Linked DNA regions of Arabidopsis thaliana. The protein of the gene in region 1 interacts with the protein of each later gene in a pairwise test. Each region holds a gene or a part of one and is shown in the gene's direction. Other genes may lie near its edges. The genes, in order: TOE2, SEC, PYL1 and WRKY41.

Region 1 (6,331 bases):
TGTATCACATTGCTCTCAAGCTATGTAGTAGTCTTAGAGATTTAGACAATACTAATGAATACAAGATACCATAAGATTTGATACAATATGTTTGTGTTATCAACGTTTGATCGGATATGTGTTTTTTTTCTACTTATAGCTATTCATTCAATGAAAATCTAAAAGAAAATTGAGACACAGTTGATGCAGAGATAATTTTCTCTAGCCTTGATAGATTTTTACAATGTGATATTGTAGGAACTAGGAAACACATGCTTCATTTTTATTTAGGCCATGAATGTTTGTAGTTTTTAAAATGGTTTTTGGATTTTGGATTTTGGTTTTTGGTTTTTAGTTTTTGATTTTCTTGGTTTTTGTTTTTGGTGTAGATTTTAGTTTCTTAAAAAACTTGAATGGTAATTTGTTTAGATTTTGGTTTTTATGTTAATGGATAGTATTTTTTTTACAAAACAAATCTAAAAATAAAATAAAAAATGTGATCGATTGTTTTTGAGAGAGAAACTCCCAAAACATAGATTTTGGTTTTCTTTGAAAAATTGTTAAAACACTCAAAAACTAGATTTCCTATATTTTAGGAAAACTTGTTTTCTCAAAATCTTGAATGGCTACAAAATAGATTTTAGAAAAAATTAAAACCAAAAACTAGTTTAAAAACCACACTCATTCAAGGCCTTACTAAAACTTGGCTACAAACAAGGCGAAGATAACATACATCATTCAATTTCAATAGTAATTAATGTGTCAAAACCTTAGAAATTAAAACAAAATTTCATCACTATGTCCAGTAAGAAAAACTAAAGCTATCAAACCTGATGTTAGTGATTTTTTTCCCCATCATCTTTAACTATTTTCCATACACATTCGTTTTTGTAATAATAACAACTTCTTAAAATGATATAACTTTTGTTACTTTATGCATGTAATTGTTGATTATAGCTAGCTTCTACACCTTTTTCTAACATGTGACACATTTTTTTTTACATGTGACACATTTGTTACGTTGGTTGGATACTTGTTATCCATATAAATCAATAAAAAGTCATATTATTCTATCTCACTCTTTTAAGTCTTTACAGATTTTTGTTTGTGAGGAGGACGTAGCTGCAAATATAGGACCCGCCATTAAATGAAAACAAATGCTTTGTCTTCAAAGCTATGAATATGTGACTTCAAAGTGTTTTTTGGTTTTTATGTGTCTTCAAAGTTGTGAATATAATAGTGTAGATTCGCTTTTCTTTACCAATCTTTGTTTGCAGATTAATAATAAGATATACTATATAGGATACAAAAACGAATTTCGTTTGATTCATTCTATAAATTTGAATTACTAAATCACTTTAGTTGAGTTTGTTCAAGGATAAAAAGTGAAACCCCAATTAAATTTGATGATTTTCAGATGTGTTTACAAAATGTTTCGAAGAACACGCTTCAAATTGATTTAACCAAGATGAACACATCCATTAAATCCTCATTCCATGAACAAAATGCACCTCATTGTCCCTAGGCCTTAACAGATCTATTTAGTACTAATACTGTATTTAATAACTTATCTTGGTAAAGAAATCACAGAAAAGCTTAACACATACAGTTTAAACCGTAAATTTATCATAGTAAAACTGTAAAAGCACTAATCATAAATTTAAACCAAGCTAATAAAACAAAAACAAGTAGCACGTTTTTACTTCAAACCGGAAACAGGCAAAACCGGTATCAAATTGCCGAGAAAGATGGAAGGAATAAATAAATGTTAAAATGTTCCTTTGTTGCCACTAACCCACAGGCTTACGTCCCATCATCATTCCCCGTTCTCTTTTTATTTTCTCTAATCGCCGACGATTATCTCTTTCGTCCGGCGATAGCTATTTTGTCTCTTCAAATCCCCATAGACCAATACTCAACTCTTCATCTCCATGTCTCCTCAATCTCATTTCTCTCCTTAGTGATTGAGCTTTTTCCTTCTTTCTCTTTGGTTATTATTCCTTCTCCTCCTCCGTCGTGTTTTTGATTGATTTCAGAATCTAAATCTCCGTTTGATTTCTCCATACTCGTGCTGATTTTCACCTATGTAATGTGATTTATGAGCTCTGTTTATTTCAAATCGACGGCGATCGTTGAATTTATTGATCAATGTGTAAGTAAGAGCTTGAAGAAATAGTTTTTGTTGTTGTTGTGAAAGCTCAGAGTTTTGTTTGCTTTTTTGTTGACTTTTTTGAGATTGATGCTGGATCTCAATCTCGACGTCGACTCGACCGAGTCTACTCAGAACGAACGAGATTCGATTACTGTTAAAGGGGTTTCTTTGAATCAGATGGATGAATCGGTGACGTCGAACTCTTCTGTTGTTAATGCTGAAGCTTCTAGCTGTATAGATGGTGAAGATGAGTTGTGCTCTACACGAACGGTCAAGTTTCAATTTGAGATACTGAAAGGAGGAGGAGAAGAAGAAGAAGAAGATGATGATGAAAGAAGTGCTGTGATGATGACTAAGGAGTTTTTTCCTGTTGCTAAAGGCATGAACTTTATGGATTCGAGCGCTCAAAGTTCAAGGAGCACCGTTGATATTTCCTTCCAGAGGGGGAAACAAGGTGGAGACTTTATAGGTAGCGGGAGCGGTGGTGGCGATGCTTCACGGGTGATGCAGCCACCATCACAGCCGGTGAAGAAAAGCAGGAGAGGTCCTAGGTCTAAGAGTTCTCAGTATAGAGGCGTCACTTTCTATCGGAGGACAGGCAGATGGGAATCGCATATCTGGTATATCTACTACTGATTGATTTATCTTTTAGATAGGTCTTAGATGAGTTGTTGATCTTTGGTCGAAAATGGAAGAGCTTGGTTTAGATTTTGTATTAATCTACAAGTTTCTTTTTTGTCAATTTTCATGGTTGCAGGGATTGCGGTAAACAAGTTTATTTAGGTATGGATTCTAATGGCTGTACTACTGTGAACTGATTTCTGCTGGGATCTTAGTTCTCTAATAAAAGCTTTAACTTTTGAATTCAATAGGTGGATTTGATACTGCCCATGCTGCAGCTAGGTAATGCCTTTGGAAATGATATTTTTTTGTTTGATCTTATTGATCACTCAACTGTTTTTTCGTTATGATACAATTGTTTCCTAAGTTCAACTTTCGTTGGTGTAGGGCGTATGATCGAGCTGCTGTCAAATTCCGGGGTCTGGAAGCTGACATCAATTTCGTTATTGGCGATTATGAAGAGGATCTCAAGCAGGTTTTGATTACAGATGTACAAATGAAGACATGTACGCTTTGATTTGTTCTTATCTGGTTTTCAAACTTTACAGATGGCGAATCTTTCCAAAGAGGAAGTTGTGCAAGTACTTCGGCGACAGAGCTCTGGTTTCTCAAGGAATAATTCTAGATATCAAGGAGTTGCTTTGCAAAAGATTGGCGGGTGGGGAGCTCAAATGGAGCAGCTTCATGGAAACATGTAATTAACTTTTCCTGGGATCTAAGTATGGGCTTTTACAAATGCTATGTTATTTGTGTTTTTGTCTGAATGTGGTTGTCAGTCATTGCTAAAAAGAGTGGAGTGGTTCAGATGAAGAGTTTGGTAATTTTTCGTTAGTTGAAAAGGGCTTCTGTTAGAACCATTAGCAGGAAGACCCGTTTGTGATTATGAGTTATATATAGAGATTTTGATGGCTATGAGACATTTATATCTATCTTGGGATGATTGTCATCTGAGTATGAGCTGTACGCTAGTGATGGTTGTAAATTACATTATGAGGAAGTCTTTTATCCTGAATTATTGATCTATTAGGAAAATTCATGACTAATTGCTCAGATTCTTATGGAATTAGGGGTTGTGACAAGGCAGCCGTACAATGGAAGGGAAGGGAAGCTGCTTCCTTAATTGAGCCTCATGCATCCCGAATGATTCCCGAGGCAGGTAATGTAATTGATGTTCCTTGCTTGTTAAACTGGTCGATGCTATGCAGCTTTTGCTGTCATCATTGATATCTCTGCTCAATATTTGAAAAGCTACGACTAACTTGTTTTCCTGATCTTATTATTTAGCTAATGTTAAGCTCGACCTCAACTTGGGAATCTCTCTTTCACTAGGAGATGGTCCGAAGCAAAAAGATAGGGCCCTCCGGCTTCACCATGTCCCTAACAATTCCGTATGTGGAAGGAACACCATGGTGCAATTTTTTCTTCAGTGCACCAAATATGATTTACTTTACTTTCATATGCGTTTTGCTGCAACTGTTAGTCAAATGTTTCTTTGTCGATATGTCATAGCAATCTGGAACTCAAAGATACTGTCTCCTTTGCTAGCTCGAGCCCTCATGTTTTTTCATTTATTCATGAATTTCTTGCTCTTCATTTGATATACTCACAGATGGAGAACCACATGGCTGCAGCGGCATGTGATACGCCTTTCAATTTCTTGAAGAGGGGTTCAGACCATCTTAATAACCGGCATGCCCTTCCTTCTGCGTTCTTTTCACCCATGGTAAATAGTAAATACCATAGCACACATCTCGTTATATCCAACTGTTTGTCACTGCCTCACAATTTTTACCTTCTGTCCAGAACTAACATACAATATGAAATAGAATGACAATTTTAAATTTATCGAACTTTACCCTACCTATGAGTAATTTGTGTGATATGAAATTCAGCTAGATGTTCATCAAGTGGTTACTGTTGTGATATTTGATCAGTTAAGTACTTGAGCTCAACTCTTTGATATCCTTTGAGAACAGGTCTATGTTGTTGCTTGTTAGTTCTTCTTCTATGTTGTGATATTCTTGAAGATTTGAATGAATAATCTTCTGTCCTAAAAGTTAAATTCTTGTCTCCAGGAAAGAACACCAGAGAAAGGGCTTATGTTACGTTCTCATCAAAGCTTCCCAGCCAGGACATGGCAAGGGCATGATCAGTCCAGTGGTGGGACCGCCGTAGCAGCTACAGCACCGCCACTGTTTTCAAATGCAGCATCATCAGGATTCTCACTCTCAGCTACACGCCCTCCTTCATCCACAGCTATTCATCATCCTTCTCAGCCCTTCGTCAATCTGAATCAGCCCGGTCTCTATGTTATCCACCCATCTGATTACATATCTCAGCACCAACACAATCTCATGAACCGCCCACAACCACCACCATAGCTTCCTCCTTCCTCCGCATAACTCAAGGTAAGACTTTCTTGGAAACAACAACATTCAACTCATCGTTTGGCTCAGCACACAAGCTGTAGTTTCCTCTTCCTGTTATACGTTACGTTTACAATCCAAAAGAAAAAAAAAAAAAATTTTGATAGAAGACCACTAAAGAAAAAGAGTTTGAGATGTTTGTATTCATATGAATCTTGATGGAAACATGAAAAGTATGATGAATGCTTAGCGAATAGAAGAAGACTAAGGAAGAGTTCCAAGTTGTGTAGTATTATCACCCTCCTGTTTTCTGCTTCTCTGTCAATCTCAAACACATATTTGAGGCAATAGTTTTCCTAAGATCCTACAATACTACACGTAATAACATACTTTGTATGTGAACGTGCAGGTTCTACACAGCCCTGAGGTTGGAATAAGTTGGAAGGCCAGCCAAAACGACGCTGAATTCTCCCAAGATCTGTTGTACTTATTGTCATTGTGTGATTTATCTTTCTGCTTTTGATTTGTAACATAAACTGAGGGATAATACCAAAACAGAACCCAAACCCATTTGCCATTTTACTATAATGTCTCTGATATTAATATGAACAGCGTAAAGTACAATGCATTCTATATGTATGAATGAAGAAAGCTATTGAGACTTGAGAGACTATAAATTTGTATAGATCTGATAAGTTTTAGAAATTAAAAACTCTTACATTAATTCAATACACCACAATAATCTTGATTTAACTCCAAAACACGTAACTAAAGACAGAGAGATGGAGAGAGAGAGAGAGAGAGAGAGATATAAATAATCATCCACTGATAATGTGAATCTTGATTGTTTGAACCAGGTTATTATCACCAGTCTTCTTGATCTCAAATATCATCTTATCCGTTGTCTTCACTTTATTCCTTCTGATGATACTGCCAAATCCCTTGACAAACACACTACCATTTGTCTGAATCTTGATCTGCTTCTCCAATGTCCCGAATTTTTTCACAAGTGGATCGACAAGAGTGATACTCTCAGGGAAGTGCAAGTCATAGTCTTTGATAACCCGAGCTGGGATGAGCTGCTTTATGAAAAAAAACATCATAAAAACTCACAACCCAACGATGTTAAATGAAAAGCTCTTTCACATTCAGTTTTTACTTACCAGTTGGCTTTTCTTCTTCGGATTAAGGATCAGAGTAAAAGATGGGTTCT
Region 2 (7,585 bases), on another chromosome or scaffold:
AATGAAGAAACTCCCATGTATATATGCAATCGGCATGTCAGCCAATGGTCCTGTATCCATTTCCAAGATCTTGCTCCACGACACTTTATCATACTCGATCTTAGTCGTGATCCATATCTCAAACTCATATGGATTCCAGTCGTTGTGCGTAAGTAAAGCCGCAAGCTTCTCTTCTCTAACACAAGATAAAGTCACATAGTCATCATGGCCAGCGCTAAACGGTAGACGCAAAAGTGGCCCAAATCTCTCACTTGTGAAATCAAAACAGATTATGTGATCGTCGATTTTGTTTATTGCGTTACTTTTTGTAGCACAAAAGTAGGTATTTCCCTTGAGAGAAACACCACGCTGATAACACGATACTATCCAATATGGAGGGACATCAAGAGTTGTCCATAAATCGGTTTCAATATCGTAGATTTCATACCATGAAAACCGGTTTTCGGGTGCGTGGTTCACGGCCGAAGAGATGTAATGATCTATAAACCTCAAGACTTTGTGGCTACGACAAGAGTTGTTCTTGTTCACGTACCCTAGAGCGTACCTGTACATGTCCATATCCTGTTCTACGCGGTGCTGCTTCTTTACTAATGTGCAGCTTCATAAAGCTCTGACTTTGGGATAAAGCGTACAACGTTTTGCAAGTTAATTTCAATGTCCTCATATACTTCATGGGAAGTCTAGATACAATATCCTCTATCAAATCCCTTGGAAGATTTAAGATCATCGTTGTCGTTTTCTCAAGTTGCAACAAGGTTTTTTTTTTTTTAACCTTAAAAAAGTGTTCTTCTTTTCCTCTGATTTTTTTCCCGCAGAAGACTATACATAGGAATTTGAAGTTGGGCCCAATCGTGGGCTTCAGAATCTTCTCTTGTTTTCTTTTTGGTAATCACATTCATAACATCCAAGTTCTTTACCAACAATGACCATTTGTATGGGGAGAGCATCAAGTTTGTATGAAGCTGGGCTAACTATGGGCTTATTGGAATTTAAAACAGTATCTTAAATTCCATCTTTAATTGAAACATTTGATAAGTGGAAGCTGCCAAAACACGCGTCCATCTTTAATTAAAATCAAATGTGAATTGTTTTCATTTTTGTGACATTTAATATTTACTTCTAGAAAAAGAAGATCAAGTAAACATGCAGTTAAGTTCAAATAAGATTAGAATTGTGATACCCTTGAATTCGATTTAGTATGCAATTTTTTTGTATTTAAAGAAAATATATTGGAGTAGACAAAGAGAGGAAGATATTGTAAATTTTTTGTTATTTTCTTTTCTCAATATATTTAAGGTAATTAATCAGGATTACGTTTTATTGTTGGCACATTTAATGCCTTTGCGGCACTATTTGGGAAAGATTAAAGATTGTTTTTGGGTGGATTGTAAATTACAACCTTTGAGAAGAAAACACTGTTGCGTCTTAGACACGTGTTAACTAAAGACAAAAGAATTTGGTTTTGTCCAGATTTTTGTTGACTCTTTGACCCCGATACGTAAAATCAACGGCGTTGAAATTTACACGTGTCAAATATTAAGTCTAATTATATGTGTGAAATCTTGATTGGTCGGAAAGAGGAAATTGAAAAAAAGGCAAATAAAAGCTAAAGAGGAAAGACGAAGCTACAGCTTCTGAGGTCGGAAAAAACGAATTTTGATAATTTAGGGTTTTGCCCTTTTCTTCTCTCTTGCGTTATCATCGGTGTTTTGATTCTCCGGCCAAGTCCCGGAGACTTGTGATCTGGGGGAATTTGGTGTTCAATTTCATTAAGACGCGATGATCTCGTCCAAAAACGGAGCTGCCATGATCTCCCGACCTGTCTTTCTTTCCGATCGAGTTGATGAAGTCTTCTCTAGAAAGCTTGATTTGTCTGTCTCTTCTTCGTCTTCTTCGAGCCTCCTCCAGCAGTTCAATAAGACTCATGAAGGTTCTGATTTGTCACGAGCTTAAATTTTTGTTTTTTTTCGATGTCCCTTCTTTGTGTAATCGCATCTTCACAGCTGATCCTTGTGGAAGTTAGTTTCCATCTGTTTTACTAAGAACACTAGGTTGTGCGATCTAATTTTCCTTTTCTAGGTATAATTGTTATGTTACAATTCAAAGATCATTAGATTTGGTGAAATCAAACTTGCTACTAACTGCTACTTGACTTTTGGGAATTCTACTTTTGGGCGAGCAAAGTTTTTAGCTTTGTTATTTGGTTTGTTCGTTTTAGGATAAAAAAGCTAACTTCTTTTGGGAGAATGTGACTGGTAATGATTGTGCTGATGTTTACTGTAAGCGTTTCGTGCAGGTGATGATGACGCACGCCTGGCTCTTGCTCATCAGCTATACAAAGGAGGCGATTTCAAACAAGCCCTGGAGCACAGCAACATGGTTTACCAGAGAAACCCATTACGCACTGATAATCTTCTTCTAATTGGTGCTATTTATTACCAGGTACTATTTTTCTCCTTATCTCATTAGTCATTACTCTATCCTCTTGTTTTCGGTTAATTAGTTGTTTACTTGTATGGTATATACCGTGCAGCTTCAAGAGTATGATATGTGCATAGCTCGAAATGAAGAAGCTCTTCGTATTCAACCTCAGTTTGCTGAGTGTTATGGAAACATGGCAAACGCGTGGAAGGTGAATGGCTTGGTCTTTGTCTGATCAGGTGGTTTTATTGCCAATACATATATTCTTATATCTGTAATCTGCTATTTCCAGGAAAAAGGGGACACTGATCGTGCAATCCGCTACTATTTAATTGCAATTGAGGTTGTGCTATATCCAATTTATGCTTCTCGATATCTGCTATTCACTTCTCATCCTATACTGATGCTTTTACCTTTCTTCATTTCCCCTTGCTTACACTTTCTTTTCAATATAATTCTTCAGCTGAGGCCCAATTTTGCTGATGCTTGGTCGAACTTGGCAAGTGCATACATGCGAAAGGGAAGACTCAGTGAGGCAACACAATGCTGTCAGCAGGCCCTCTCATTGAATCCACTTCTGGTAATTGACTTTATGATCCTTCTTTTTAAGTTTTCTGTCTCACTACTGCTGGGAGATTCACTGTCTATCTTCTTTTGTTAGTCTTCTCACCTGGTAATGTAAACTGTTCTTAGGTTGACGCACATAGTAATCTGGGGAATCTGATGAAGGCTCAAGGATTGATTCATGAAGTAAGTCTTTCGAATTAGTCTATTTAAGTTATTCTGTTACTGTTCCAACCCGATTATCTGCAATTTTCTTGTGTCCTAGTTATGGATGCGGCCCCTAATTCTACAATTGATTGATCAAAGTTTTGTCATTGCAGAAGAACTTTTAATTGAACCAAAATATATTATAATTAAATGGACGGTGACGTGATGCACTAGGAATATAGCATCACATCTGTAGTCATTTTACTGGTTTATCAACTGCAATTACTAATAGATGCATTCATTTTTCTGTGTTGTACTGTGTCATAATCCACAATCAATACAGACATCAAGTTGTTACTGAAAGGCAAGCAGGGATGATCGTCAGTCTTATAGTCAGTGTCTACTGCCAGAGTCCAAATAGTTAGAATGTAATATTTTGTGCAGGCATACAGTTGTTACCTTGAAGCTGTTCGTATACAACCAACATTTGCTATTGCATGGTCGAATCTTGCTGGTCTTTTCATGGAGTCAGGTGATCTCAACAGAGCCCTTCAATACTACAAGGTATGCTTCATTCTCTCCTAGAAAGATCCTGTTGACATTGTGTTATGTGTGCGTTTGTCCCCCAGATTAAATTCTTTATGTTTTAACTATGTTGGCTGATTTTCTTAATTTACCAGGAAGCTGTGAAGTTGAAACCTGCATTCCCTGATGCATATTTAAATTTAGGAAACGTGTATAAGGTATGTCTACGTATAGTGTGTTAAGATATGTTCAGTGCAATAATGTTTTCTGGACAATAGTAGTAACAAAATTTTATATTTCTATGTCTTAAGGCCCTCGGGAGACCTACTGAAGCGATCATGTGTTATCAGCATGCCTTACAGATGCGGCCAAATTCTGCAATGGCATTTGGTGAGTGTAATTTGATCAACTAAATGCTCAGCTGAAATAAAATATACTTGCCAAGTAAATGCGTGACGTCTTTCATAATTGACATATAACTACTAAATGCAGGGAATATAGCCAGTATATACTATGAGCAAGGTCAACTAGATTTAGCAATTCGACACTACAAGCAGGCTCTCTCCCGGGATCCACGATTTTTGGAGGCTTACAATAACTTGGTTAGCATCAACAACACACATTTTGTGGGTTTTGTGTCTGAACTATAATTCTCAGTATCTAACATATGATATTTTTTGCATTTGGAACTTGAAGGGTAATGCATTGAAGGATATTGGGCGAGTTGATGAAGCAGTTCGGTGTTATAATGTATGTGTGTTTTCCATCTGAGACTTACTAGTGAATTTGCGTATTACTCACAAACCTGTGGTTATACTGCAGCAATGTCTTGCTTTACAACCAAATCATCCACAAGCCATGGCTAATCTTGGAAACATTTATATGGAGTGGTATGTGATCCTTTCTTTCTTTTTGCTAGATAGAAAAGACTAAATGACCATAAAATCCATTTCACAACTTGAAACAGGAATATGATGGGTCCTGCTTCCTCATTATTCAAGGCTACTCTGGCTGTAACTACAGGGCTATCTGCTCCGTTCAATAACCTTGCTATAATTTACAAGCAACAGGTAGCTACGTGCTCCATTATCAATTTTTAATCATTTTTGTAGTCTTGCTCATGTTTGACAAATTTAGCTTGTTTTCTTCTCCTTTACTACAGGGAAATTACTCGGATGCTATATCCTGCTATAATGAGGTTCTTCGTATTGACCCATTGGCAGCTGACGCTCTGGTTAATAGAGGGAATACTTACAAAGAGATCGGGAGGGTAACTGAAGCAATTCAGGATTACATGCATGCTATAAACTTCCGGCCTACAATGGCTGAAGCTCACGCAAACCTGGCCTCAGCTTACAAGGATAGGTAACCATTGTCTTTATCTTTCATTTATTAGGTATACCAGACACATGTTCAAATACCGCTTAGCTAAGAACAGAGCCAAAACATCTTTACCTTGAACGAAAAGATCTGACTCGAGAAGAATTTTGTGTATTTCATGGTTCTTGAATAGCTTATGGTGTCATATATCTTAAAATTACTTACAATTTTCCTACTTCACTAGAAGCCTTTATATCTCTACGTACAGTTCTTAAGGTGGTTTCGTGTTAGGCTCTTGTTTTCTGGGATTTAGAACATTTAAGATGTGGCAGTATAACAATGAGTTAATGACCACCTTTTAACTGAGGAGTTAGTATGTTTGACCAGAAAAATATTTGTTCTACTATTAATGTATTTGTTGCACCTTCTTGCATAAGCAGTGGGCATGTAGAAGCTGCCATTACGAGCTATAAGCAGGCCTTGCTTCTACGACCAGACTTCCCAGAAGCAACGTGCAACCTTCTACACACCTTACAGGTATTTATTTTTCCTGGTTTGATGTCACACGTCTGTTATGATAGCTTCTTTCTTCTCTACTTGTTAATTCTCCCTTCGTCTCCATTTTTTCTTTCCTGCTGCTGAACCAGTGTGTATGCTGTTGGGAGGACCGTAGCAAAATGTTCGCTGAAGTTGAAAGCATTATTAGGAGGCAAATAAATGTAAGTATTTACGCCACACAAAATTTGTGGTACTTATATACTATTACAGATTAAGGTGATAGCATATCCTATTGATCCTATCTTCAGATGTCGGTCCTTCCAAGTGTCCAGCCCTTCCATGCAATAGCATATCCTATTGACCCTATTCTTGCCCTTGAAATCAGGTTTGAGGCTGATTTTTTAATACTCAATACTCATGAAAATACATGTTTATATTATCTTTATGTATATGCCTATTTCTTATAAATCCCCTATTTTTTCAGTCGTAAATACGCTGCACACTGCTCCATAATCGCTTCTCGTTTTGGACTACCTCCTTTTACCCATCCAGCTGGGCTCCCTGTAAAACGTGAGGGAGGATTTAAGAGATTAAGGATTGGATACGTGAGCAGTGATTTTGGTAACCATCCGTTGTCACACCTCATGGGATCAGTGTTTGGGATGCACAACAGAGAAAACGTTGAGGTTTGTATCCTGCACTTGGATACTTGTTGATCCATTTCTTAGGTCTGCTCTGATTTTATATCGAGAGTTTGAGTTCTTCAACCCAGTGTTTTCTAGTGAGGCTATAAAATTCGTACATGCTGGGTTTAGTTCTTATGATGGTAGGAATGTATGGAACCGTACGGGTCCTGTGTGTGGAATATAGAACTTTAGTAATTGATGGTATATCATTCTGTATCTGCCTATCCTGTTTTTGGCTTTTCAGCAAAGTAAATCACATTTTTTCCCAGGTTTTCTGCTATGCTCTGAGTGCAAATGATAATACTGAGTGGAGACAGCGAATCCAGTCAGAAGCCGAGCATTTCCTGGACGTTTCTGCTATGTCATCTGATGCTATCGCCAAAATTATAAACCAAGACAAAATCCAGATCCTCATCAATCTAAACGGTTATACCAAGGCATGCATGCTCTGAACATTTCAGAAACTTTTTACTCTGGAGCTGTACCCATTCCTATGGAAATGTTTTTGCTAACATTGTTTGGTTTAACCTATGCAGGGGGCTAGAAATGAAATATTTGCCATGCAGCCTGCTCCGATCCAGGTTTCATATATGGGCTTCCCGGGTACCACTGGAGCAACCTATATTGACTATCTAGTGACTGATGAGGTTTGCAATTGAATTATAGTTTTCTAGATATCTTCAGAACATTTTTTTTTTCCAACCTTATTTTTTCTCTATGTCATGACTGGTTACTCTCTTTTACTTTTCAGTTCGTGTCTCCTCTGCAATATGCACATATTTACTCAGAGAAGCTGGTCCACCTTCCCCATTGCTACTTTGTCAATGATTACAAGCAGGTATGCTCCGAGAAAGTTTTCTTTACCATGTTATTGTACATTCATCAGGTCCACAGTTATTTTTATAAAACTCATCGTATAAATGCTGTTTGCAGAAAAATCAGGATGTGTTGGATCCAAATTCGAAGCCCAAGCGATCAGACTATGGACTTCCTGAAGACAAATTCATATTTGCATGCTTCAACCAACTGTACAAAATGGATCCTGAGATCGTTAATACTTGGTAAACGTTTTTCCTTAGCTTTGCAAGTTTGTTTGGAAATTTACGTATGACACCTTACACCATCATGATACCATAAATAACACTCTGTATAGATGTAAATTTATACATGCACAAACTGATTTGTTTTTATTTTTTTATAGGTGCAACATTCTTAAACGAGTACCCAACAGTGCTCTTTGGCTTCTCCGTTTTCCAGCAGCCGGAGAGATGAGGTTTCGCACATGTACGTTTGGTTCCATTCAATCGCCTAGCATTTCCTTGTTCTTTCTGCTTTCTCTATCGTTTATAACCTTATTTTTTTGACCTTATATCCAGATGCTGCTGCCCAAGGTGTACAGCCTGATCAAATTATCTTCACTGATG
Region 3 (3,478 bases), 5.2 Mb from region 1:
CTTGAAAATATTATATTTGAAAATTCTTTCAAGCCTTTTAGAATAAAAAAATTCGCAATGATCAGAATCAATATTATTCCACCAAATGGACTTTTTGATACTTTTATTATCTCTATAATGCTAAAGAATATATATAGCAATCTATCTATTCATAAATATATTAATTATTTTCTAACTTTAACTTTAGGAAAATTTAATCATACCAGTTTGAGAGCACTATTGTCCTTTTCATTTAAAATTTTGAAAAAATTAATTTAGCGTAATGATAAAATTTTATAGAAAAATCGTTTAGGTATAGTGTTTAGCAATATAATTTTACACTCTGGATATTTAACTAAATCATTGTTATAATCATCAAATTTGATATACAAGTGCAATGTGCAAGTATATACTTGACATAAAAATTAAATGTCTACAAGACGCCAAAAAAAACAGCTGGAGACTACTTTTTATGATTTATAACTTGTACCTACCGTATCTCTTGGATTCTACTTCTTACGTACCCAATTATATCTTTGTAACAAAAAATAAACTATTTACTGTAATGATTTTTTATATTTTTTTTTGGACAAAAGTATAATGATTTATAGGCTGTGAATGGTGACCAAAACCGCACTTAAAACCGTATCGCAACAGTGCTGATTTTCATTACTATTTGAACCGCACCGCACTTTTTGCGTACCGCAAAACGCAGTCACCATTCACAGCCATAATATTAAAAATAATTTTAATAGAAAAAACAAAAGTCAAGGTGATAAGAGAAAAAAGTAATTTGCCCATTTCGGTTGCAGATAAATAAACATGGCCAAAACTAGTAAGTATATGACACGGAGGCTTCATGCTCAGTTGCTCACATTTAATTATCACTTGATAAAAATTCTCTAGTACAAGTAAAATGTTTTAATCTTTACAAGTATATTTTTTTTATGTAACTGAAAATTGTTTTAATCTTTACAATTATTTAGTTTCGAGAGAAATTGGGAGTTATAGATTAAGATAAGTAATATAGGTATAGGCTTATAATAGCTTCACGAACAAAGGCTAATGGCTAACCTTTAAATGCATTCGAATAAATAATGATTCTATATTTGAGCATCTAATCAAAATTTCTACGGTTGCCAACAAAAAAATAATTCAACTCCCGTAAATAATTTTTTATTTTATAATTTAATTGCATTTCTATTACGAGTTGACCAATTTCATTTGTAATATATTTACCAAAGTGATGATTAATATAAAATAGTAGGAATTCATGAAGAATATGATAAAATGAGTTATTCTAATTTTAACTATATAGTTTAACTCGTTCAAGATATTTTTAATTAGTATCATATATATATAATTTTAACTATATAGTTTATACATTTCAATCAGAATATAGATGGATGAATAATATGATAAGTCTAACTAAACTGTGTGTTATTGTTCATTAAATTAAATCAGATTTTTCGAATTCAGCAAAATAATTCCATCTATTATAATGAACGGATATATATTTTTTTTGTAGTATTATTTTAGAATCTACAAAAATATTACGTAAATTTGTAATAGTTACTAATTTTGATGTACGTGTCTACAAATATAGTAATTATCAACTAAAAGTAGAAAGATTCAGTGCCTAATGACATTTATGTGATAGCCATTAAAAAAAACTCAAGTCTATTAAATTCCAAATATACCCTTCTTCTCTTTCTTCTTCCTTCAAATTTTCAACTTCTCTCTTTCAAGTTTCAACAAACAATATCAATGGCGAATTCAGAGTCCTCCTCCTCACCAGTAAACGAAGAAGAGAACAGCCAGAGAATCTCAACACTCCATCACCAAACCATGCCTTCCGATTTAACTCAAGACGAATTCACCCAACTCTCCCAATCAATCGCCGAGTTCCACACGTACCAACTCGGTAACGGCCGTTGCTCATCTCTCCTAGCTCAGCGAATCCACGCGCCGCCGGAAACAGTATGGTCCGTGGTGAGACGTTTCGATAGGCCACAGATTTACAAACACTTCATCAAAAGCTGTAACGTGAGTGAAGATTTCGAGATGCGAGTGGGATGCACGCGCGACGTGAACGTGATAAGTGGATTACCGGCGAATACGTCTCGAGAGAGATTAGATCTGTTGGACGATGATCGGAGAGTGACTGGGTTTAGTATAACCGGTGGTGAACATAGGCTGAGGAATTATAAATCGGTTACGACGGTTCATAGATTTGAGAAAGAAGAAGAAGAAGAAAGGATCTGGACCGTTGTTTTGGAATCTTATGTTGTTGATGTACCGGAAGGTAATTCGGAGGAAGATACGAGATTGTTTGCTGATACGGTTATTAGATTGAATCTTCAGAAACTTGCTTCGATCACTGAAGCTATGAACCGGAACAACAACAACAACAACTCTTCTCAGGTTAGGTAATGATGAAATTTGGGGGAAAGAAAAATGTTTCTAAATTGGGGGAGTTTTAATTTTTATTTTGATTTGTAAAACGTTTTTTTTCTTCTCTTGAATTGTAATTTCCTTGTTTGATTTTATGGTTATGTTTTATTTTTTAAAAAAAATCAGTCTCCTGGATAATTGGAATGGTCGAGATAGGTTAAATTTAATAACATACTTGTTATATCATAGAATTAGGAATGATAACATACTAATTATAGTAGTTCGTTTATTCAATTGGTTGACAAGATAAATTATACAGGAATGATAACATACTAATTATAGTAGTTAGTTTTCTTTAACTGTTGTGTAGATTGTACTATTTTGTAGGTTATTAGTATTCTTGTTTTATTCAATTTTTGTATTTGAAATGATATATGCATGGAATAGATTTCTAGGTCAGATGGAAAAATAATGATATTTTTTTTGTTCTTCGATACATATTTATTTATAGCGTATGTTTTAATATAGTGTTGTGTGTAGTAACTTTTCATAATAAAACGAATAAAAGCTTAATGTCTGAAAATTGGCAGTATTTATAAGTCAATTTTGGCAATTCGTAAATTCGCAAAATTATTTGTTTTCTAGCGTTAATGACAAAAAAAAAAACCTAAAAAAAAAAACCGTTGCATTAGTTTTTTTTTTGTTCAATAATTTTTTTTATTTTTTTATTTACAATTTCGTTGTAAAATTTAATTTTTGTATTTTTGTGCTAATTTTGCTTAAGTTTTCGCGCTCCAGTAACATTATTACGTTCAAAAACTAATTACTGTTGAAGGGGAAAGGGCTTTGAACGACGAAAAAGCCCATTATAATTTGAACTCTTTTATTTTTCATTTTAAAATTTGGAGAGAGCTCACCATTTTTTACATCTAATTATGATCCTCCTTTTTTTTTCTTTTTTTTTTTGTCAATACACCTAATTATAATTATGTTATGGTCATCGCTTTGTCTGATGAGCCTGAGTGGCTAAGTGCCTGACCAACAAAAATAAACTGTACTCGATTTCTTTTTCCCGATTATTAGAGACTCCAGAATTGGATGATCC
Region 4 (3,963 bases), on another chromosome or scaffold:
AAATATTATTTTGATATGAAAATGTTATCATTCAATATGAAGTGTGTAGAATTTAAATCGAGTTTATTATGATGACATAGATAGTTAAACTGTATTACAAAATTGAATGTGTAAGATATAAATTTATTTTTTCTTTTTCTTTTCTAGATATTAAATTAAATATAGAATGATGATCGGTTACTTTTTAGAATTCAAATATCATTCATAAGATTGAGTGTGTATAATTAAAATAGAATGGATAAGACTGAAATTTTGTTTAAACCAATAATTATTAAATTAAATATCAAGAAAAATATATTGATTATTATACAAATTTCTATCGATAAAACTTAATTTTTGTATCTTAGACCCGCCTAAATAGCAGATGCTGAATTTAAGAGAATAAAAAAGTTAAATTTTTGTATCTTAATTTTTATATAATAAGATTCTATTTTTTTTAAGAGAATAAAAAAATTAAATTTTGAATGACAAATGTAAACATCTGATCGTTTGACTTGACACGTGGCACGATTCTATGAGTTAGTAACTTAATTAGCATATGTAAATTTGTTTACTTTTTAAGATTTTCTATTTTTTTAAGAGAATAAAAAAGTTAAATTTTAAATGACACATGTAAACATCTGATCGTTTGACTTGACACGTGGACACGATCCTATGAGTTAGAAACTTTGAAAACCATACTTTATATAATAAGATAAGATTTTTAAGACTCTAAATATTTGTTTATAGTTTAAGTATACACTAATGCATCACAATGTCACATTAACGTATTTAACTTTACACAACACGTAGGTACGTGGACTTAGTAATGAAAACGGATATACTTTCAATATGTTATAGCAAAAACTAATCTTCCAAGTCCATTAAGACAAAAAATCAACTAATGGCAGTAAAGTTACAGATCAATCATGAGATATGGAATTTCAGATGGAACTTCTTTTAATTTGATACACTTTGAGTCTTTGACGATGGATGGACTTGGTCAGCAGAAACCTTTTTTTACGATCTTGTATTGAATTATGAATGTATGTGTCATCTCACTTTTCTCTGTAATAGTTTATGGTTCATTTCATACAATCATACTGTAACTTTCTAAGATATCATGGAATTTTGTTTACATCTTTAAATGTTAGAAATTAATTAGAATGTCAAAATACAGTTGAACTTATTTAGTTAGCTCATCCTGATTTTGTACTATATTTTATAATTGAGATTTGGTATCTAATATTTGTGCTATAACTGCTAGTCTGCTATGCTATATATTTCATATTTAAATCTGGTAGACTATCTGAAGATGTTGAACACAAACAAAATAAATGATACAAAAACGGTTGTCGTCAATAGAATAACAAGTTATACAAGAAATGGTTTGTTGCTACCAAAATAGAAATCAATGTAATAGTACATTTTGCAGATAGATATTGAAAAAGAACCTTAACAAAGTTAATACTTGGAAAAGGTACAGTTTATTTCTATCCTAATAATATAATTATTTAGTAAACCACTAGATTTAAATAACTAATCAACTTGGTTAAACTAAAATAAACCCAAAGTTGATTTGGTCAGCATTTGACCTATAGTAAACACCACCACTTATACACTCTGAAACGATATATTCTTAATGAAGACCAAAGACTTTCTCAACTTTGAATCTTTTTCCTATTTGTTTAATAGTTTGCTCACTTGGTCAAATTTTCAAACATATCTTTTAAAACCTTTAAATTCCAAAAGAACACGCTTCGTTTTAGTACATTCTCATCATTCAAATACCAAAAATCTCACATCTTTTTCCTAAACCACAATCACATGTTCTTAATCTAAACCTTACTATAAAAAAGTTAAAAAGCTATCACATCTCTTCACCTTCAATGTCAAAAGTTTTTCCAAAAAATTCATAACTATTTCTTCCGGTCACCGTAAACCGGGGTTTTACCGCCTTTCGAATTTACTCAAGACACTAAAAGTAACATGGAAATGATGAATTGGGAGCGGAGGAGTTTGCTAAACGAGCTAATTCATGGACTAAAAGCGGCCAAGCAGCTTCAGGGTTCGTCTTCTCCATCGTTGTCAGCTTCTTCTTCATATTTGACGACGGAGATAAAGGAGAATCTCTTACATAACATAGTTTCTTCCTTCAAAAAAGCTATTTTGATGCTCAACGGATCCACCACACAACACAATCCAACGATAGAGCTTGCGCCTGATCCCCTAGCTCATCCCGGAAAGGTTCCAGGATCTCCAGCATCGATCACCGGAAATCCGAGAAGCGAAGAGTTTTTCAATGTAAGATCGAAAGAATTCAACTTAAGTTCTAAAAAGAGGTAAAAATTTGAACTTAAATTAGCGTTATAAAGAAGAGAAAAGCTTATTAAAATTTAATAATAATAATAATAATATTAGAATTCAAAAAAAATAGCCAGATTTTTTGAATTAGAGATTTGACAATTAATGAAAATTTGCAGGAAGATGTTGCCAAAGTGGACAGAGCAAGTGAGAATTAGCCCAGAGAGAGGCTTAGAAGGACCTCATGACGATATCTTCAGCTGGAGAAAATATGGCCAGAAAGACATTTTGGGCGCCAAATTCCCAAGGTACATCATCATACTCTATCATCATCATCATAATCATCATGTTTACGAATAGTACATTTGTTAAAAGATTGGTTAATAGCAGCGGATAAATGTTGAGTATAATTATATGAGTAATATATACCTAAAATTACTATTCAAAGTGTATTCTCATATTAAAAACTATTTTGCATAATTTAAATATCGAATATGTAATGAATAATTCTGAATATAATACAAGATAAATTAGATATTTAAAATTATTATCCGAGTTTGCTATATGAAGGTCGGATTTGTATATAATCAGATAGTTTTTTTTGGCTAAATTTACGTGGCTTTAAGAAGAAGAAAAAATTAGTTTTAGTTTTACTAATTTAGGACTAATTTGTGTTTTTATTGCAGGAGTTATTACAGATGCACATTTCGTAACACACAGTACTGTTGGGCTACGAAACAAGTCCAAAGATCGGACGGTGATCCAACGATCTTCGAAGTAACATACAGAGGAACACACACTTGTTCACAGGGGATCCCACTTCCAGAGAAACGAGAAACCAAACCAAAACACACAGTAGCAGTAAATTACCAGAATCTCAGGGCCAGTCTTACCGTACGTACCGGCGGACTTGGAAGCGAAGCTTTCTCATTCCCCGTCACGTCGCCGTTATACACTTACGAGTCCATCAACGGTGGTGGAACGTTTTACCACCACGTGGGAAGTTCTGGTCCGTCGGATTTCACTGGATTGATCTCAACAAATACTTCCACAGGAAGTTCTCCAATCTTCGACGTTAATTTTCAATTTGATCCAACGGCTGAGATTAACACAGGCTTCCCCACTTTTTTCCACAATTCGATTTAAGTAGTACAGTATTGAATATTCTTGAGATTAATATAATCCCGATTAGCGCCTAGCGATTTAAGTAGCAGAGTCATTTTGCATAAGTAGAGATGTTCAATATGAGCAAACTTGAACATTCTCTAATTTTTCTTTCTCTACGACGAAGTCTTGGTCTTATTGTACTCTTCCACTTCTTTCTTGTAAGCTTCCATTAACTCAGCAGCTTTGCTATTGTAAACTTGTTTCTCCTCTTCACCAAGTTCCTACAACAAAATTGTAACCAAAACCAACTCAATTTCACAACTAACAGTGATAAAATCTTACTCGTTGGATTCGAGTTTCATGATTTATAATATACCATCCATTTCAATGAAATGTGAGCAGTAACAGTTGAGTTGTTGATCCCAGGATGTTCTTCTAACACACTCTTTCTTGCGTCTTTGCTGTAAAAAGATTTGAGATTATAAAACCAGTTTAGCATCTGATTGTTTTGTGGATTCAGGGTTTTAAAGTATATACCAGAAGAGAAAGTATGAAGAAGTAGGCTTTTTGGGT

What was found.
Region 2: the proteins of TOE2 (region 1) and SEC interact in binary tests that used the Arabidopsis thaliana proteins (3 or more experiments, as listed by UniProt).
Region 3: the proteins of TOE2 (region 1) and PYL1 interact in binary tests that used the Arabidopsis thaliana proteins (3 or more experiments, as listed by UniProt).
Region 4: the proteins of TOE2 (region 1) and WRKY41 interact in binary tests that used the Arabidopsis thaliana proteins (3 or more experiments, as listed by UniProt).

What each region holds. Positions count from the first base shown.
Region 1 is NC_003076.8:24,205,935-24,212,265, forward strand, and holds TOE2 (target of early activation tagged (EAT) 2), read left to right. Parts: upstream 1-1,754; 5' UTR 1,755-2,218; coding exon 2,219-2,751; intron 2,752-2,888; coding exon 2,889-2,914; intron 2,915-3,003; coding exon 3,004-3,034; intron 3,035-3,139; coding exon 3,140-3,227; intron 3,228-3,300; coding exon 3,301-3,446; intron 3,447-3,819; coding exon 3,820-3,908; intron 3,909-4,036; coding exon 4,037-4,227; coding exon of another isoform or gene 4,228-4,350; exon of another isoform or gene 4,351-4,361; coding exon 4,362-4,475; intron 4,476-4,644; exon of another isoform or gene 4,645-4,827; coding exon 4,828-5,133; 3' UTR 5,134-5,160; exon of another isoform or gene 5,161-5,527; 3' UTR 5,528-5,809; downstream 5,810-6,331. Other genes in the region: AT5G60130 (AP2/B3-like transcriptional factor family protein), read right to left, coding at 5,937-6,197, 6,282-6,331.
Region 2 is NC_003074.8:1,114,917-1,122,501, reverse strand, and holds the start of SEC (Tetratricopeptide repeat (TPR)-like superfamily protein), read left to right. Parts: upstream 1-1,568; 5' UTR 1,569-1,779; coding exon 1,780-1,930; intron 1,931-2,296; coding exon 2,297-2,442; intron 2,443-2,533; coding exon 2,534-2,632; intron 2,633-2,713; coding exon 2,714-2,764; intron 2,765-2,884; coding exon 2,885-3,001; intron 3,002-3,114; coding exon 3,115-3,171; intron 3,172-3,344; exon of another isoform or gene 3,345-3,576; coding exon 3,577-3,696; intron 3,697-3,812; coding exon 3,813-3,875; intron 3,876-3,968; coding exon 3,969-4,047; intron 4,048-4,149; coding exon 4,150-4,259; intron 4,260-4,353; coding exon 4,354-4,407; intron 4,408-4,479; coding exon 4,480-4,547; intron 4,548-4,624; coding exon 4,625-4,727; intron 4,728-4,819; coding exon 4,820-5,022; intron 5,023-5,417; coding exon 5,418-5,514; intron 5,515-5,624; coding exon 5,625-5,696; intron 5,697-5,783; coding exon 5,784-5,860; intron 5,861-5,959; coding exon 5,960-6,161; intron 6,162-6,430; coding exon 6,431-6,598; and 10 more. Other genes in the region: AT3G04250 (F-box associated ubiquitination effector family protein), read right to left, coding at 1-552.
Region 3 is NC_003076.8:18,982,997-18,986,474, reverse strand, and holds PYL1 (PYR1-like 1), read left to right. Parts: upstream 1-1,557; 5' UTR 1,558-1,746; coding exon 1,747-2,412; 3' UTR 2,413-2,935; downstream 2,936-3,478. UniProt on the Arabidopsis thaliana protein: Receptor for abscisic acid (ABA) required for ABA-mediated responses such as stomatal closure and germination inhibition. Inhibits the activity of group-A protein phosphatases type 2C (PP2Cs) when activated by ABA. Can be activated by both (-)-ABA and (+)-ABA.
Region 4 is NC_003075.7:6,757,335-6,761,297, forward strand, and holds WRKY41 (WRKY family transcription factor), read left to right. Parts: upstream 1-1,763; 5' UTR 1,764-1,968; coding exon 1,969-2,321; intron 2,322-2,462; coding exon 2,463-2,591; intron 2,592-2,943; exon of another isoform or gene 2,944-2,969; coding exon 2,970-3,429; 3' UTR 3,430-3,460; downstream 3,461-3,963. Other genes in the region: 3xHMG-box1 (HMG (high mobility group) box protein), read right to left, coding at 3,564-3,671, 3,767-3,851, 3,928-3,963. UniProt on the Arabidopsis thaliana protein: Transcription factor. Interacts specifically with the W box (5'-(T)TGAC[CT]-3'), a frequently occurring elicitor-responsive cis-acting element.